2 linked regions of the Macaca mulatta genome follow. Each later gene encodes a partner of the first gene's protein in a complex. Links are inferred from orthologs where the notes say so. Each region holds a gene or a part of one and is shown on either strand. Other genes may lie near its edges.

Region 1 (3,817 bases):
AATTTAACATTTTACTTAATTGCCTTGATTTACATGTATTTTAATATTTTAGACTGACAAGATCTTTATTTTTAGAAGTAGTGTTTAACTTCCAAATAAATGCATAACATTAGCTGTTTATATTGTAATAGTGGCATATTTTCTATATTTAATGTGTAGCAATGACTATTCAAACCTCAAGAAATGTTTTAGTTTATAATAGTAATTTTTCAAAATATCTCAATAGAATACATTACATTTTCTGAATCCAGAACAAAGCAGTTATTTCAGCGTATGTGCTTTCTAAGTATTTAGAAGATTAGATTTCTAATAAACATGGACTAAATTAGGTTTCTTCATGTAGCTTTAATCAATGCACTTATTGTGTTGCATCCTTTAGCCACCTTTCTCTTTTTACCACAATGTCAATAATTGTTTTTCAGTGAAGACAATTCTTTATAATTTCATAGTGTAGATGCATGTGTAAAATATCTGTATAAGTTGTACATTTGGAGAGAGGTTTTTTAAAGATTCTAAATCACAGCATGTCTTCCTTCCCATCTCCCCTGCTTACCTGGTTTTAGCTCCTCTTTGGTTCAGGTGTGCTGGTGTCGCTAAGCCTTTCTGGGCCGCAGCTGGAAAAAGTGGTGATTGACAGAAGCCTGGTGGGGAAGCTCATCTCAGACACCATCAGTGATGGTAATTACCCCCATGTGCAAATCAATTGCCTACATTAACAGTGGGGCAGGAGAAATAGTGTGTCAACAGGTAGACTAATTATTACCACTGGGGACTTGCAAACAAAACAAGTAATTGCTTGTAATAGCACACTTACCCCCTGGGACCAATACAAGTTTTGACTAATATTTAATATCAAAGTTTTTTTTTCTTCTTGTCAAGTGTTAAGCTTATGTTCTGAGTTGTTTTTTACTTTTTCCTTAAAAGAAGTGAGCATTGTTTTCAAAATAGGGTTTTGTTTTCATTCTTTCAAAGTTAGTTCTCTATAACTGGTACTTCAAGTATATATTTCATTTCCAAATGAATTTTGAATAAATAACACAAATATACCAACACAGCCACCAGTAAACAATTGATGCTTTGGCTCTCATAGGAAGATTCCTTGTTACTAAAATCTTACGAATACTAACTTTTGAGAGATTTTGGGCTATATTTTCTAAATAATAAAGATCAATGCCTAATATACTGGATAATCAGGTCCTATTAAGTGACATCACAATCAGTCTGTAATTGGTACAAAGCACATAAGAAAAAGATATTAAGCCAGTTATTGAATAGGAAGGATACTGATATTTATTGAGCCAAAAGGCTCTGTATGCTGGGTTCCTAACCTACCTATTTAATACAAGAAAACAATTGTATAAGGTATAGTTGTTTCCATTTTTACACATAAGAAAACTGAAGCTGAGCTACTAAGGAACATGTCCAGAGTTATATAGCTAGAAAGTGACTGAGATGAGATTTGAATACAGGTTCTGGCTGCGAAGCCCATTTTCTTTTCACTATACCGTGCTGACTCCTGAATTTTTAAAGATTATATTCTTTTTTTCAAGGTAAAAAGGTTGAGAAACATTGTATTATCATGATAGATTGAAAATGGTCAGTATCTTAAATTTAGTAATCAAAGGAAGTATGTCCTAGTGGAAAGGACAGAGGTGAGAATAAAGAAATCTTCCGTCTGCTGTGTTCTCTCACTAGCTACCTCTGAATAAATCAGACAATCACGTCATCGTGAAGAAAAGAACTCTGCAGGATGGCCATAATTAGCAACATTACTGATAGTAATAAGCTGGGGGTAGGATTGTAAGCATGCCATTTCCCCTTCCTTACAGGAGTAAGGTGCTGAGGAAGCTTCCCTGTAGAAGAGGTTCCATTTCCATATGTCTAATTATTGACCCCTTCATTGGTACTGCAAATAAAATACTGGCTCTGATGATTTTGTTATATTGATGCTCCTCAATGAGAAATAAAAGGAGACTTTTCAGCACAATTTGTGTCTCTGAGTTATCCCTTTTCACGTATTTCTTTTATTTGTACCCAAAATAATACACTCTCATGGGAACGTGGTAACAATGTGATTTCTTGGCAGTTCTCCAGATTCTCTTGTAATTGTGTAGATCCACTGTTGGTCACTGTTTGCATGGTCAGGGGTGTGAAAGTAAAGGAAAATGTATAAAACATTTAATAATTTCTTTATGCTAGGAACAATGCAAAGCATTTCTCAAATTCCTGTAACATATTTTTATCAATAATTTTATGTAACATCAATAGCCCTTTATATAATCCACAAATATTAGTTATTTACCTACTTGTATGCTTAATGACAAAGCTATAGAAATTGCTAATTTTCATTATTAAATATTAATTTATGTAATGTACATATTGGGTATAATATGCTTTATTTCATCCAGCTTGTATACCCCTAAAAGAAGATTCACTGATGAAAATTTTTTAAATAAAGAGACTGGTTGAGAACACTGATCAGTATCCCCTAATAAATCCACTTTATCCTCAGATGGTTTCTATCATATAAACATAGGATTAAAGTCTTAGCACAAATAAAATGGAATGTTTTCATCTCTACATTCAGGTGTGAAATAGTTTTTTAAAAATATCTTTATAGCCCTGGTTCTAAATACATCTCATCCAGTGGTGGTCCCCAAACATCAGTGTATATTGAAATAGTCACAGGAAAAAAAAATCATACATGATTAGATTGATAATTATTGTTTATTCCTAATATCTTTAATATTTTTATAAAATGCTATAATGATATTCAGGAGACTTTAGTGATTTCAATTAATATGTATGTTTGAAAATAGCTTTTTGTAACATTTCAGTGGAAAAAATCTATCCATTATTTTATTCTAACTTGGTATTATCTAATTATGGTTTTTAGCTCTTCTCACAGACAGTTTTATCATCTTATCATTTTTGGCACAAAACAAGCTATGTTTTATTCAGTTTACCAAGAAGATGGATTCTTCTGATGTAAACAAAAGACTGGAAAAACTCTCAGCCTTGGATTATAAGGTAGATATTTTGATTTATATAGTCATATTATTAATTATTAAGGTATATGAAAGTATCTCATAAGTTGGTATTCTGCTCATTATTCTTAAACATTCTGGATTTCAGAAACACTGGAAATATTACAGGATTAAGCTTAATTAACTGCAAACAGTGGCCATTCTAAGTTTTCTTTTATACTCTCACTATGGGGGGATGTCTAACAATGGCATGTTTGGAGCAATTTATATAGTATTTATAGACGTCAAAGACAGATAATAGAGGCAAGTTACACTTTGAAAATGGTTTTTGTACTAGTGGTAGTATATATATTCTCATTTTCCCGTAAGACCCCATATCATCTTTCTAGGGTAGGATAGCTGCTCTGGTTTCCACTTCACAAGAAAAGAAAGAAAGAAGAAGGCACTTTCAAAGGTTAATAGAAAAGTGTAATAAATAAGGAGGGGGAAGAACCCTCCCCTTCCAACTATAACTGGACAAAATGCAAAAAGAAATCTCCTTCATGTGTTAGTATCTCTCCCTTCACTAACTCCAGGTAATTTGTTTCCTTCCTGTAGCAGGGGCTTTACATCTGTTAAGGCAGAATTCTTATTTTAAGTGATGTGTTTAAGTTTTGCCACATTACATTTTAACTGCTGGGAAGGCATATTCTCTGCTAGGATGAGTATCTAATACATTTTCCAGGCTGTTTCAGTTCAAGGCCTCTTTTCAGCAATGACTTGTGTTTGCAAGATTGATCCAACCTCTGTGATGTGGATTTGAGACAGTTCACTGTTCACTGGGAACAGAG
Region 2 (3,950 bases), on another chromosome or scaffold:
TCCCAGCCCCTCAGCCTGGTGTTTGAAGGCCTGTGGCACGTGGCACCCCCTAACCTGTTGCTAAATCCACAATCTACCTCCATCCTGCTGCCTCACAGACCCCAGAGATCCCAACGACTTTCCAACCTTGGTACCTGCTCTTCCTCCTGTCTCTCAGATCTCTAGCTACCCCTACTTAAATACTGCTCTTGCTGACTTGCCTGGTGTGGGCGCCTCCCAGCAGTGTGACTCTCAGCAGGTGACTTGGCTTCTCTACATTGCTGATGGTGCCTACTCAGCATGTAACAGGCCTTGATGAACAGTAGCTGCTGTGGTTACATCATTAGCTTCAGTTTGCACACTCAGGCTAGGTGTGTAATCAGACTTCACAGTGTGAGTTGGGGATGTGACTTCGTATGAAGGTGAGGGAACTCAGGCTCAGAGAGGGTGAGACGCAGGAGCATGGCCACTCCACGAGCTTGGGGCTGGCTGTGGGTTTACTCCCCATTCCCTGCCCACCGGGGAAGTCGCTGCCAACCCCTACGCCTGTCTGCGACTCCCAGTTCTCCTGCCTCCCTTACCCAGGAAGCCCTCTCCGGGTTCGCGGAGGCCACGGGCACGGCATTCGTCAGTCTGGTGGTGTCGGGCCGGGTGGTGGCAGCAACGGAAGGTTGGTGGCGGCTGGGGACGCCCGAGGCCGTGCTGCTCCCCTGGCTGGTGGGGTCCCTGCCGCCGCAGACCGCTCGCGACTACCCGGTGTACCTGCCGCACGGGAGCCCCACGGTGAGTGGGTGGGGCGGACGGGGCAGAGGGATGTGACCTGGGGGCCGAGTCGCTAGGAAGCGGGATCTGCGATGGAAAGGGGCCGGGCCGCGGTCAGCCCCAGCCTGTGCCCTGCTTCAGGTCCCACACCGGCTCCTGACCCTGACACTGCTGCCGAGCCTGGAGCTGTGTCTACTCTGCGGGCCAAGCCCACCCCTCAGCCAGTTGTATCCACAGGTGAACCTGCGCCACGTCCCGCTTTCCCCCTTAGGACACCCTGTACCTGCAAGGCCCTTTCCAACCACCCTGCCCTGCCAGCGGCTTCTTTCCCCAGCCCCGCCCCTTCTGGACTGCGCTCCAGTCATTCACCTTCCCCGCAAGATCGGCCACCCCCGCGCGTCCTCCGTCCTTCCAGGCCTCGCCCCTTCCCTTGTCCCTTCTGCCCTCCGCCCTCCACTGTTCTCGTAGGCCCCGCCCCTCCCGATTGACCACGCCCCTATCGTGCACTCCCCCGCCGGCCCCGCCTTCCCATAATGACCACGCCCCCTGCAGCTTCTGGAGCGCTGCTGGCAGCCACTGCTGGACCCGTTGCGGGCCTGTCTGCCGCTGGGACCCCGAGCGCTGCCCAGTGGCTTCCCCCTTCACACAGACATCCTCGGGTAAGGCTCGGATGGAGGGAGTGGGTTGGGGATCATGTCCTCTTCCCCAACCATGACATTCCCTTCCCTTTCCCACAGGCTGCTGCTCCTCCACCTGGAACTGAAACGCTGCCTCTTCACCGTGGAGCCCTTGGGGGATAAAGGTGACTGAGGACAGGGGCAGGGGCAGGAGGAGCGTGGGCCGGGGAGGGGCTCTGCATCACTGCCTTTTCCTCAGCAGAGCCTTCACCAGAACAGCGCCGGCGCCTCCTCCGAAACTTCTATACCCTGGTCACCTCCACGCACTTCCCACCAGGTCAGCGGCAGGCACAGTGCTCCCACTGCGCAGGCGGGGACACTGAGTCTCTGGTCACGCAGAGTGGGAGTAGGAGGTGGGGTTGGAGGAACCGGACGAACCCAGCATGCACTGGGCCATAGGGCTGTGGTTTTTCTTGAGATCTGAGATTTGATGCAGATGGGAAGGGCGATCCTCTTTAGCAATACACATGGCAAACACGGCAGCAACACAGGAGCTCCAGTAGCCTTTTCCAGGAGGGAAGGGAGGGGAAGGGAGGTCCCTGCCTGGCTTCAGAACCTCCTAGATCATAGTTAACAATAGTTAACAGTGAGACCTCACCTCTTCCCAGTGCCTTTACATGTAATGAAAGAATGAAATCACTTTATCCTCACAAGCGAGGACTATCCTGTTACCTCATCATTCCCATATTACAGATGAGAAAACGGAGGCTCAGCTTATGAGTGGCACAGCCATATTCGAACACAGGGGATCTGGCTCCCATATCCACACGGTCCAGCACTCTGCACTACTGCTGAAAGCACAGACTTTGCTGATAGGCTTGGGGGATGGGGCAGGTTTTCACCGATGCTGGGTTAGAAAGGAAAAATTATTGTAAAACCCATAAAGGCCCAGAGAGACAAAGGGAGGGCCCTGGGATGGCGCTATGACCCCAGTGAAGCCCGGATGAATGCAGCACAGTGGTCAAGTGCTCCATCTGGGGGGCTGCACCCCTTCTTAGCTGTGCGACTCCACCTCTCCCTGGCCCCTGCCTGCTTCCCTCCACCCACCTCATGCAGTGGGGCGGGTGGGCTCCTGGAAAAGGCTACTGGAGCTCCTGTGTTTCTGCCGTGTTTGCCATGTGTATTGCTAAGAGGATTGCCTGCAGCTGCACAGTTTCCCCAGGAAAATGGGGGCCAAGGCTGAGAAAGAGGACGAGGGTGAGCTGAGAGCATCATGGTCTTCAAGTTGCTGACAGCTTGCTAGAACCCCGAGGCCCTGCCCTGGCAGAAGGCTCCCAAAACCTGTGCTCAGAGACCCCACGCGTTCAGAACTTGGGCCCAGGATGTGGTGTGGCTTCCAAAGGTTAGCATGCTACTTGTCACCTCAGTGCCCCCTGTTCTTTCCCCAGAGCCAGGGCCACCAGGGAAGACAGAAGATGAGGTCTACCAGGCCCAGCTGCCCAGAGCCTGCTACCTGGTGTTGGGGACTGAGGAACCAGGCAAAGGAGTGCGTCTGGTGGCCCTGCAGCTGGGGGTTCGGCGGCTGCTGCTGCTGCTGTCTCCCCAGAGTCCCAGCCATGGGCTGCGAAGCCTAGCCACCCACACTCTGCATGCCCTCACCCCACTTCTTTGACTACCTAGCAGTGGGTGATGGACACAGACATGGGGCTGTTAGCGTCTCTCTGTTTATTCGCTCACAATAATACACAGCCCCTGGATGGGGAGGGGGTAGGAGGGGCTACAACAGGGTGGGGTGGGAGGGGAGGAGGCATCCACTTTCCTTGCCCCTCTCCCCTCTGTGCTTGGGAGGGGGAAGGGAGGGAGGGGGCTCCCCCTAACCCCCCAGAATGTAAACAGCAGCAGATGAACAAAAATAAAAATACAAAAGGCCGGAGGAAGGTCCCAGGCATCCCCCAACCCCTGGCGTCTTCTCTGTCACCAGTGGAGGTCCCCCATCCACCAAAGCTGCCTCAGTCCAAGGGGCTGCCCAGTGCCGGCCACATCCCCGGGGGCAGAGTCCAGGGCTCAGAACTGCTGTGCCAGCAGCTCACACAGGTGACGGGAGACGGGCTCCTTGCTGGTGCGCAGGGTCAGCCGATACATCTGGGTGGGGACATTGGGGGCAGAACTCAGAGAAGATGGGGAGCCCAGGGAAGTGGGGACACAAGGGAGATAGAAGAAAGAAGGATAAAGGGGCCAGAAAAGTGATACAAGACACAGGAGAGGAGAATGTAAGAATGAAATCAACGGAGGAGCCAGAAAGGAGGGAAATTATAAATGAGAAGAGAAAGGTGGAAACGATATGGAAAGGTAGAAATCAGGGAGGGACAGGAAGAGGAGAGGAAGACCAGAGGTTGGAGACAGGAGAGAAGATTGATGGATAAAGAGGAGGAAAAGTGGACAAAGATGCGAGAGGAGGAGGGTCAAAGGGGGGACGTGAATTGAACAGTGAGGCAGGAAGAGTGGGCACAGAGATGACAGGTGGCCTTCCTGCCGACCTCAGGCCTCCCACAGCAGCACTCACCTGGGCCTGGGCGTTGGGTTCCAGCCGGA

The links.
Region 2: the proteins of WDPCP (region 1) and FUZ are in contact, whole or in part, in a cryo-EM structure (PDB 7Q3D), measured with the Homo sapiens proteins. The link is inferred for Macaca mulatta from reciprocal best matches to the Homo sapiens genes WDPCP and FUZ. Residues at the interface, in NP_056994.3 of Homo sapiens: Arg55, Ile57, Asn75, Lys78, Leu82, Glu418, Asp419, Arg420, Leu421; in NP_079405.2 of Homo sapiens: His293, Glu372, Glu373, Pro374, Arg379, Gln397, Pro399, Thr400, His401, Gly402, Ser405, Leu406.

What each region holds. Positions count from the first base shown.
Region 1 is NC_133418.1:61,313,973-61,317,789, forward strand, and holds part of WDPCP (WD repeat-containing and planar cell polarity effector protein fritz homolog), read left to right. Parts: intron 1-563; coding exon 564-678; intron 679-2,896; coding exon 2,897-3,030; intron 3,031-3,817. UniProt on the Homo sapiens protein: Probable effector of the planar cell polarity signaling pathway which regulates the septin cytoskeleton in both ciliogenesis and collective cell movements.
Region 2 is NC_133424.1:62,274,143-62,278,092, reverse strand, and holds the end of FUZ (protein fuzzy homolog), read left to right. Parts: intron 1-564; coding exon 565-762; exon of another isoform or gene 763-764; intron 765-882; coding exon 883-978; intron 979-1,293; coding exon 1,294-1,400; exon of another isoform or gene 1,401-1,401; intron 1,402-1,478; coding exon 1,479-1,543; intron 1,544-1,617; coding exon 1,618-1,695; intron 1,696-2,806; coding exon 2,807-3,030; 3' UTR 3,031-3,314; downstream 3,315-3,950. Other genes in the region: AP2A1 (AP-2 complex subunit alpha-1), read right to left, coding at 3,423-3,500, 3,922-3,950. UniProt on the Homo sapiens protein: Probable planar cell polarity effector involved in cilium biogenesis. May regulate protein and membrane transport to the cilium.